Linked DNA regions of Arabidopsis thaliana. The protein of the gene in region 2 interacts with the protein of the main gene of each other region in a pairwise test. Each region holds a gene or a part of one and is shown on either strand. Other genes may lie near its edges.

The links.
Region 1: the proteins of SNRK2.3 (region 2) and ABF1 interact in a two-hybrid assay, tested with the Arabidopsis thaliana proteins (one study listed by BioGRID).

What each region holds. Positions count from the first base shown.
Region 1 is NC_003070.9:18,397,892-18,403,216, reverse strand, and holds ABF1 (abscisic acid responsive element-binding factor 1), read right to left. Parts: upstream 3,212-5,325; 5' UTR 3,057-3,211; intron 3,031-3,056; exon of another isoform or gene 2,434-3,030; 5' UTR 2,392-2,433; coding exon 1,393-2,391; intron 1,276-1,392; coding exon 1,204-1,275; intron 1,119-1,203; coding exon 1,064-1,118; intron 941-1,063; coding exon 855-940; 3' UTR 600-854; downstream 1-599. Other genes in the region: AT1G49730 (Protein kinase superfamily protein), read left to right, coding at 1-12, 91-599. UniProt on the Arabidopsis thaliana protein: Binds to the ABA-responsive element (ABRE). Could participate in abscisic acid-regulated gene expression.
Region 2 is NC_003076.8:26,708,409-26,713,684, reverse strand, and holds SNRK2.3 (sucrose nonfermenting 1(SNF1)-related protein kinase 2.3), read right to left. Parts: upstream 3,384-5,276; 5' UTR 3,351-3,383; intron 3,266-3,350; 5' UTR 2,989-3,265; coding exon 2,815-2,988; exon of another isoform or gene 2,478-2,814; coding exon 2,403-2,477; intron 2,310-2,402; coding exon 2,208-2,309; intron 2,135-2,207; coding exon 2,081-2,134; intron 1,981-2,080; coding exon 1,888-1,980; intron 1,775-1,887; coding exon 1,682-1,774; intron 1,601-1,681; coding exon 1,496-1,600; intron 1,420-1,495; coding exon 1,321-1,419; intron 1,244-1,320; coding exon 953-1,243; 3' UTR 742-952; downstream 1-741. Other genes in the region: AT5G66890 (Leucine-rich repeat (LRR) family protein), read left to right, coding at 1-741. UniProt on the Arabidopsis thaliana protein: Together with SRK2D, key component and activator of the abscisic acid (ABA) signaling pathway that regulates numerous ABA responses, such as seed germination, Pro accumulation, root growth inhibition, dormancy and seedling growth, and, to a lesser extent, stomatal closure.

The DNA.
Region 1 (5,325 bases), on a different chromosome or scaffold from region 2:
GTGGAACTCCAGGTTTGGGAGAGATACTGAACAGAATAACTTGACTACTTTTGATGGAAGCTGAGTTTTAAAAACTTGAAGTTTTTTCAGGTTATGTAGATCCGGAATATGTAGTAACGCAAGAGTTGACAGAGAAGAGTGATGTGTACAGCTACGGAGTTGTGTTGCTGGAGCTCATAACCGGGAGAAGAGCAGTTGATGAAGGTAGGAACCTTGTGGAAATGTCTCAGCGGTTTTTGTTGGCGAAATCAAAACACCTCGAGTTGGTAGACCCGAGAATCAAAGACTCTATTAATGATGCTGGAGGAAAACAACTTGATGCAGTTGTGACGGTTGTGAGATTGTGTACCGAGAAAGAAGGCCGGTCTAGGCCATCAATTAAGCAAGTCTTGAGGCTGTTGTGTGAAAGCTGTGATCCGGTGCATAGCGCATTTGCTAAAGCGGTTGAAGAAGAGATAGGCTGGGATAGTAGGAAGAGAAGCAATTTGAGAATTCAAAGAGGTGATTCCCGGATCTTTGGTCCATCGTCTAGTACTACTTCCAGGTCACATTACAGCCGGAGTTTACCTCACTCTCCAATTAACGGATTTTCTTTCTGAGTTAGTCACATCTTCTCTATAGCTAAATCTGAAAGTTTTACATATGTTTATGAAAATTATGAATTCATATTGAAAGCTCTCATACTCTACACAGACTGCACTCTTAGTTAAATTCAGCTCAAAAGATTTCTACATTGTAAGCGTCTCTGTAATTTCTCCTGTACAGTAGCACTATCTTCTATTACATATTACTCTCCCAGTGTCTTCCTTTTGAGTGGTCCTGTATTACATTAGCAGGTTCTTCTTGCTTTGACTTCACCTTCTTACCACGGACCGGTAAGGGTTCTTCTCAAGCATTGTCTTTTGGCCAGCAATGGAGGCTGCTTCGAAAATTCCTTTAGCTGCAAATTCAAGTACTAGTATCAGTGAACTGTGTGTCATCAAAATGACAATAGAGCTACATTTAGACAGACACAAAATGTCTGGTAATGTAGAGACAATGATGGTGTATACATGAAATATACATAAGTAGAGGAAAAACGTTATTACCTCACTATTATGGGTTTTCATTATTTCAGCCTGCAACATAGAGAGACCGCAGTTAAATAACTGAGCCAGCTAGACTCTCTATGGAGAAGCAATAAAAATGGTAGAAGAAAAAAACCTGTTTCTTCTGCAAATCTTGATTCACTAGCTTGAGACTTTCAATCTCAGCTTCCAGTTCCAAGGTATAAGCCTGAGGTTTAGCCAAAACATCAAAATGATTTCAAAGTTCTTGAAAAGAAAACGGTAATGGCAGTTTGGTTAGATGATATTGATATCAAAGTTTTTGAGAACAAAACGGTAACTTTACCTGTTTTCGAGCCCTTGATCTAGCAGCGGATTCCCGATTCTTGATCATTCTCTTTTGCCTTCTCTCAACAACCTTCTCCAGGCCCGTATTGCTTCTTCTTCCCCGACCAAACACGTAAGGAACTGGTGATGACCAAGTATTGTTTTCTGCACTGCTCGTCCCAGGAGAAGTAGCTGTAACAGTACCCCCTGCTCCTCCCATATTACTGTTGGCTGGACCATCTGCGCTAGTCTCAAATAAACCCCTGTTGACCATATTTACAGGCGCCGCAAATGTTACATTCGCTTGTTTTGGAAAGATAGTTGGAGGCAGTCTCTGATGTGGCTGCTGCAACTGCTGCTGATGTGGCTGCTGCTGCTGCTGCATGGTTCCACCAACTTTGAGGCCTAAACCAGGTGCTTGATTCATGATCATAGAACTATTGTTCCCGTTGAACGATATGCTGTTTTGATTCGGCTGACCAAATCCAAACTCCAAACCAGCAGCACCGTTGTTAGCATAAAACCCGCTACTACTGTTTTCGTTCTGCTGAGTATTATCTTCTTTAACAACGCCAGCACGGAGTAAGAAATCTTCCAGAGTCATTTCCCCTAAAGTCTGTTGCCTCTCAAGCGCATCCGTTCCAGTATTCCCATTACTACCTTCTTTCGAATTCAGGTATTTCCAGACTTCATCGACAGTCTTCTGACTAAGCGTTCTAGGCAAGGTCAAGGAGCCTTGCCTCTGTAAACCATTTCCTCCCGGAACAAAACCACTAGGTCCCGGGGCTGCAACCGAAGATGTAGTAGTCATAAAGGCTTGAGTATCCTCAGCAGTCCATATGTTCTTGAGTAACTCATCCATATTCATAGACCCAAAATCTTTCCCCGGCTCACCTAATGTGCTCTGAAGCTCATCAAACGTTAAGGAATATAACGAAGACTGCCTCGCCAATGGCTTTGACTCATTCCCTCTAGAAGTATCGCCGCCTAAGTTGTTGATATCAATGTGAGTACCCATACTTCTTTTCTGTTTCACAACGGAATCACTTCCTTCCAAATTCTTCAGTGAAAAAACAAACGAATCAGACCCTTTTAGCTTTACCTAAGAGAGAACAAGACCAGAAAATTGAAACTGGTTTAGGAGTATAACACACCACACAACTATGTGTCACATAGTGCTTTTAAGTATACTTGCATAAGAGCAAGCAAAGAAGACCAAAAGCAAAAGGCAGGAACGTTCATATAAATGTCAAAACTTTATAAAGTTTTAGCCAGAAGCAATCAATCACAAACATATACATAGAAGTGTGTGATACAGAGAGTATAAATTGGATCCTTGGATTCAGAGAGAAATATAAGATTGGATCAAAATCCATAACTTTGACCATTCTTGAATGTATCTAAAAGATAGATCTATAAAAGATTCTGGAGTAAAAGCAAGATCACACAAACCCTCAAGAAGAAAAACAAAAAAGTCTTATCCTTTAATTTCTTTAGGAATAGTTACTTCATTACTACTACTACTTGATTTAGAACATAGAACCAAAAAAAAGACAAAACAGATATTATGAATCGGACCCAAAAAAAAAAAAAGTATAACACTTCAGGGGATGTGATAAGACAAAGACAGATTCGAGAAGAAAAGAAAACGAAAACGGATAAACAAAAAGAAGGAAGCTTTACCTAATATTATAGGCGATTGCTGAAAATAGAGAAGAGCTGCGAGAGAGAGAAGAGACGACAAGTGTGTTTGTAGTAGCTTCGACACGAACTGCCATTTTAAGGGGTTAAGCTTTTTCCTCTTATGGTTTTTTATTTTATTTATTGTTTAGATATTTTGCTTTCATTTTTTGGTAATAAACTAATAAATATCCCGTTTTAATGATTATTAAACATAGTCACTTAATTTAGCTGACAACCACGTTCATTTTTAACCAATAAGAAGCTGTAACGTGTGAGAGCTTTAGTCGCTGATTGTGTCCTTTGCCTTGTTTGTTTTCTTTAAAAATGGGATTAGATCTGATACAAATATCCATATTAACCTTGCCATTTAGACATTATTTCTGATCTTAATTAACTAACCGAAGAAAGTTTGGATAATTATAGTATTTCAATTTTAATTCGCCAACAGAAATTTTTTAAATATCGAATTCTGTGTTGTAAACTGCACAATTTTACTTCAATTCGACTCCAAGAAAATTACTAAAAAGGAAATTGATTTTTTTTTTACTTATGAACCGCAGTAAATTTTTGTTTGATTTTTAGTTGGCTAATTTTTTTTCAAAACCAAAATTCTAAAAAATCAAATCCTAACTCATCTGAAGTTTATGAATGTCTAGTCATATATTGTTGGTGTTTACCGCGATCAAAGAGAAAATCAAACCACAACAATGTTCGTAGATGGTGGTAATCTATGCACATGACAAAATACTCTATATACAATCGAACAAACTACTAGACTAGAGGTTTTTGGTTAAAATTTTATTTTGCATTTAAATAATTTTCTATGCATATAAAAAAATAAGAAATGAAATGGGAATAAAATTATAGTATAGTATCATGTCGGTCGGAACACCAAATGATTAAATTATGTGCCAAATTAATTTTAATATCATATTGTTGTTACTCATGTAAGATATTTTGTGTGCTTGATAAACTGTGATTATTATACATGAATGATGTTGAAACAACGGCAGAAGTGGGTAGTGATTCTTTTTGGGTCCCATCATCCCAATGGTGTGCGAATTTTGACATCAAGCAATAATCATTATATCCAAGCAACCCAAAAGAAGAAGACTTTTAAGAAGATTTGCGTCGAGTTTAATACAATTCACTTCCAAATTTGGAAATTTTGCCCTCTCCTCACTTGGTAAATGGTATGTTGATGATTTCTACTTCTTTATAATTTGATAACTTATTTAAAAGAATTGTCTACTTTCGTGTCACCGTTGGGCCAGCGTATAGAATGAGCATCAAACCATGATAGAGTTCTCCTTCATTCTTTCTTTTTGTCATATATGTGATCATTGGTATTTTTTTTTTTGTCAATATTAATTTAGATTCATACGAGCTAATTCCGGGAAATATTGTTTACATATGTAATCATTGGTATTGTAATGCTAATTTTGTTTCTTTTTTTTTAAAAACTTCCGCTTTCTTGTGGAGCAAAACATATCAATTACCCATTCAACAACTTTCTAGTCTCTACTAACAAACCTCACGACTTTGTTAATCAAAAAAGAAAAATTACCTCTACTACTAGAAGTAAAAATAAATGAAAAGGAAGAGTTTTCTAATGGGTAAAAATCCAAAAAAAAACCTTAACTAATTTTTATTTAAACGTTTAATACCCAATTGTTTTTTCTAAGAAGAAAAATACATGAAAAATACATGAAATAATAAAACTGTGCAATTTAAATATTCAAACAATTAAATATTGTTATTTTCATACTCACGATCTGACAACAAAAATAAAATTTTAATTTTACCCTTATCATCTCAATTAACTATTAATTTTTTAGATTATATGACATTAATTTTCTAATTTTGGATAAAATAATTTTATTAACATATTAGTTTATGGTGTCTAAAAATTTCAAATTTTCATTTTTATTATAATTATTTTATTTTAAAATTATTTAGAGAAAATAAAATATTTTTTAAAGTGGGCGGAACAATCTCCGCTCGAATTTAAATCTTTCACGAATAAAACTATTTTTGAAAAAATCTGAACCCGAATCTCATCGTTTTTCTCAAGATTTTTGACAAAACTATTTTTGAGATTCGGGTTGTGTTTTTTTTCAAAAAAAGTTTATCCATAAACTAAAATCCTAATATTTTTCTCCATCAAAATCATAGAGTCAATTCATCAACAATGGCAAGATACAAACTAAGTATTGTAATAATACTATTAATGTGAACGTTTTGAAGTAATTCGAAACATAAATTGTTT
Region 2 (5,276 bases):
TTACCAAACTTCATTGCTACTATGAAGGAATTGAAGGTTGTGATTATCATAAATCACGGTCTTGAGCCTGCAAAGTTGACTAACTTGTCTTGTCTCAGCTCGTTACCAAACCTGAAACGGATCAGATTCGAGAAAGTTTCAATCAGTTTGCTTGACATTCCCAAACTTGGTCTCAAGAGTCTTGAGAAGTTGTCCTTATGGTTTTGTCACGTTGTTGATGCTCTCAACGAATTAGAAGATGTTTCTGAAACTTTACAAAGTCTACAGGAAATCGAGATTGACTATTGCTACAATCTTGATGAATTACCATATTGGATCTCTCAAGTTGTTTCATTGAAGAAGCTTAGTGTCACAAATTGTAACAAGCTTTGCAGAGTCATAGAAGCTATAGGTGACTTAAGGGACCTTGAAACGCTGAGACTGAGTTCTTGTGCTAGTCTCTTAGAGCTACCTGAAACGATTGACAGACTCGACAATTTGCGGTTTCTTGATGTTTCTGGTGGCTTCCAACTGAAAAACCTGCCTCTAGAAATTGGAAAGCTCAAGAAGCTTGAGAAGATTTCGATGAAAGATTGTTATCGATGCGAGTTACCGGATTCTGTGAAGAATCTAGAGAATCTGGAAGTGAAATGCGACGAAGATACTGCGTTCTTGTGGAAAATATTGAAACCAGAAATGAAGAATCTGACGATCACAGAGGAAAAAACAGAACATAACCTCAACTTGCTTCAACTGTTTTAACTGTTAATTTGCTTTTGTGTGACATTGGAATATATATATAATATACACAGATGATATTTTACATTACATATATGATATATGTGTGCATGAAGAAAACAAGAAACAAACAGAGACAATACAAAAATTGGTAGAATTTGAAACCAGAGGATCAGAACACTACTGGTCTTAGAACAGATAGAGAAGTGTTTTGGTTGTTAAAAAAGGCTTTTTATTAGAGAGCGTAAACTATCTCTCCGCTACTGTCAATGTCGATTTCAGATTCAGAGTCAAAGTCATCCATGTCATCGTCAAGATCAAGATTGTCAGTCATGAAATCGTCTAGGCAACGGTTTCGAACAGCGGGAATTGTGGCTTCAGAGATGATTTGCATGATTGTGTCAAGGCTTTGCATTGGTTGTTCAGGCTCCTGGAACTGGCTTCCTGTGTTGCTCTCGTTCATTAGATCAGCAGGGAGATTCTTCAAGAACCAACTATGGGTTTTGATCTCTGGTATGCTTATTCTCTGTAACAAACAACATCAAACATCAGTCATCTCGCCGATGGTTTAAAGATTAGAGATGAGGAAAGGGAATGACTTACGGTAGCGGGATCAGCCACGAAGATTCTTGAAATAAGATGACAGCATTCAGGTGATATCCGTATGTCATCAGGGATTGAGTATTTAACGCTAAGGATTCTCTGTGTTTCAGAATCATTAAGAGAATAAGAGGAACATCAAGAGATGAACAAAAGGAACAACGTTTTAAGCGGTTACCTGTATTGTTTTCCGATAGTCTCTTGGCTCTTCTGGATCTTCGAACGGATACGCTCCAACCAACATGACGTATAAGGTCACACCACATGACCATACATCTGCAATCTGGTAACCGTAACACTCAATGATTGGCTATTCATCCTTAGAAATACAGAGATTACAGAGGAATTCTCTAAAAGCCTTTACCTTGCCATCATATTCCTGACGAAGCAGTACCTCTGGAGCGATGTATGCAGGAGTACCAACAGTTGACTTTGGTTGTGAATGAAGAACAGAAGACTGTCAAAAAGAAATGCATAAGCAAACACTTTAAAAACACATTTGAACATGACAATGGAGGAACCACAAGTGTATAGTTTCTGATACCAAAAGAACAAAATCATTTGTGATACCTTTGAATATCCAAAATCACAAATTTTTAATCGAGGAGCAGGACTTCCATCCAACAATGTATTCTCTAGCTTCAGGTCACGATGGCAAATTTGCTTCACAGCACATGAAAAAAAGTAGAGTATTAACAACAAGTTAGAAAAAAACAAGAATACAACCAGTCCATAGGCTCCATGAAACAGATTCTCTACATACCATCGAATGACAATAACTGACTCCAGATAGAAGCTGCTGAAAGAAGAACCGAGCCTGTTTACAAGAAGAGATCAAACCATAAGGAAACCGGAGACCTGTAAACCCGATAAGAGAACCAAATACAAACCTCATCTTCACTAAACCGTCCTGCATTGCAAATCCGCTCGTAAAGTTCACCGCCAGAAGCATATTCCATTATGATAGCCAGATGAGTCGGCGTCAAAATGACCTATCCTCAAGTACAAGAAACAGAGTTTAAAAGAGTCACTGGCTTAACAAATTCCAAAAAGACAAGTACTGAAGAAAAGTGTATAAATTTTACCTCTTTAAATCTGACAATATTAGGATGCCTTAGTGACCTGTGGTTAATGATCTCCCTTTGAACATTTTCATCAATCTGCAACTCCCATAGTTACAAGTCATTCACAACTGTCCTAATCTACAAAAGCAGAACACTCAAAACCAACTAAAAAAATCATTTCAATATCCAAAATTTCACATAAATCACAAATTAAAATCATCATTCAAGTGTTAGGAAGCTCACATCTTTAAAATCACATTAAAAGCACTCAAAAGCATAATCATCAAAATCTAAAAACGCTAACTTTAAGTACGAAACCAATAAATCTGGAAAGTGAAAGCTAAACCAAACACTAAAAATGAACGATCACTGGACTAAATAAATATCATCAACTTCCAAAAATAGAAAAAGATGAGATTTTTAAAAATGAAACCTTGTCTCCTCTCTCGATGTACTTGACAGCAACAAGCTCTTTAGTGAGTTTATCTCTCATAAGACGAGCAACACCGAAATTACCAGAACCAATATCCTTAACGAAGTCATATCGATCACTGTCGTGCATAATCGGCATATCCAACGGTCCTGTGGTCACCGGAGCTCGATCCATTTCTGATCACAAAAAGAGAAATTCGAATCTAATACCCAGCAGAGAATATGTTGTTGTTGTTGTTGTTAAGTCGCTGGAATCTAGGAAGAAGAAGAAGATTCGAGAAAATAAATGGAAAAATATCTTCAAGAAGAGAACGAATAAGGAAAGAGAGGAAGAAAAAAGGCAATAATTGGTTGCCCCAAGAGATAAGGATTGTCCCAAAACGACAACGTTCAGTTGCTTTGATACGACAAGAGCCGCCGCGTTTTGATGATTGATGTTGCTTCCTAAGAAACTATAACCCAAAAATATTAAAATTAACATGAAATAAAAAAAGAAAAAGCACGACTTCACTCGTCCTTGTCTCCTAAAATACAAACCTTTTTTCTCTAAATTCTCTGTATTTATCCGTTTCGATTTTTTTCTATTTTTCTTCGTTTTTCTCATTTTGAGAATTCGTATCAAACAAATAAATATTTGTGTTAAAAATAAGTAAAAGAAGAAGATATATTCGTTATAAATAACAAGATATTCTAATTAAAAAAAATAGTTTGGAGGAAACAGAAAAACTTAGTTCATAAGGAAAACAGAAGCTTGAAAGTCACGTGCTGCAGAAGCGGCCATGTGATGAAAGAATATTCGGTTGCGTTATTCCGTTACTTGACGGCGTTAGAAATAGACACTGATGACATTGACACTGACGTGGCAACTTCTAAGCATTTTTTAATTTAGTTGATGGGCCTGCCTCTAATTTTTACATAGAAAAGTCCTTTAGGCCAGCCCAATCCCACCATGGATGACATGGACAGTGACGTGACAACTTCTAAGCATTTTTCAATTTAATTGATGGGCCTGGCTCTAATTTTGTTAAAGAAAATGCCTAAAGATATAAGCAAAAGGCCAGCCCAATTACAATATTGATGATTAATTGGATGAATAGCATTTTATCATATTTGCATGAAATATATAGTCAAATCTTAGGTCATTGATTTTGTCGGTCCATATATATATAGAGACACACTTAAATTAGAATCTACTAAGGACTGTTGTATTAAATTGGATGTTGGATTGACCTAGTTAGAAATCTTTATATGGATTTATTGCGACACGAGACATTGATAAGAGTACCGAGGAAGGTACACTAGTGTGACTAGTGTTAGAGATAGCGAGGTGTATGTATAATTTTACTCTTAAGTTAATGAAAAGGAGTGAATGGTGTTTATGGGTAAGTGCGCAATTAATGGGTCAGTGCTTAATTTAATGGCCGATGCTCATCAATTTCACCACCTTCTCTTTATTGCTATACTAAGCATCCTACTGGTGAGATTAATATACTATTATATGCACATGCACATGAACATTAAGTATCCATGTTTCTCATGAATCATTCAGATCAAATATCTAAGCCACACTCACATTGATTTAGCTACTGATTGTTATGATCATCATGGTATGGACAAATGTGTTAAAGTGAATGAAAGTCTAATAATTTAGATTGGTGTGAGTATGTTAACTTAAATGTTACATCTGTTTTTCAGCCGGTTTTGATTCATGCGAATTCGTGAGGATTAAACACATCATGTAATATTGGGAGAGTCTTGAGGGATGGTTTATAAAGATAAAACGGTGATGATATAGAAGAGAGAGCCAAAAATAAATTAGTGAGTGGTCAAAGATTGTTAATAAATGAACCAACACAATCTTAATTGCCAAGCATTCACACTTAACTACTTCTTTAGCTTCATCTAGCTACTTGATGATTATTATATGCGTTTCCTTGTTTATATGTGAAGCACACACTCTCTTTTAAAAAATGATGTAGCCTTTTTGTAATTTGTTTTTCCTTAGCCTTTTTGGTATCATTATGATAATGTTTTCATAAACTAAACTCTTTTTGTTTCTTATTTCGCATTTTAAACTTTAGGTATATATAACAGGATCGATACTTTTCCAGAAACAAAAAAAAATGTAAATGCGGATATACAAAGATAGATTATTCATACTTTTTAATTTAATATTTCCGGTTGACGTCGGATATGTGATAAACCACTAGGGCAAGTAACACTTCTCTTGACATCTAATTTACAAATAGATTTGCAACCAAAAACACTAATTTCTCCTTTTTTTTACTTGAACCAAAAGAAATGTCAAAAAAATATTAATAGGGTACAAAGAAAAAAAAAAGCAAGGTAGTATTTGTTTCGGGATGGAGTGGAGATCTTTTGTTCAAATTGATACGAGGCCTTTGGTTTATACTTTATACCAAAACTGTCTGCAGGACTCAAAATCAACCAAATAAGCTGACT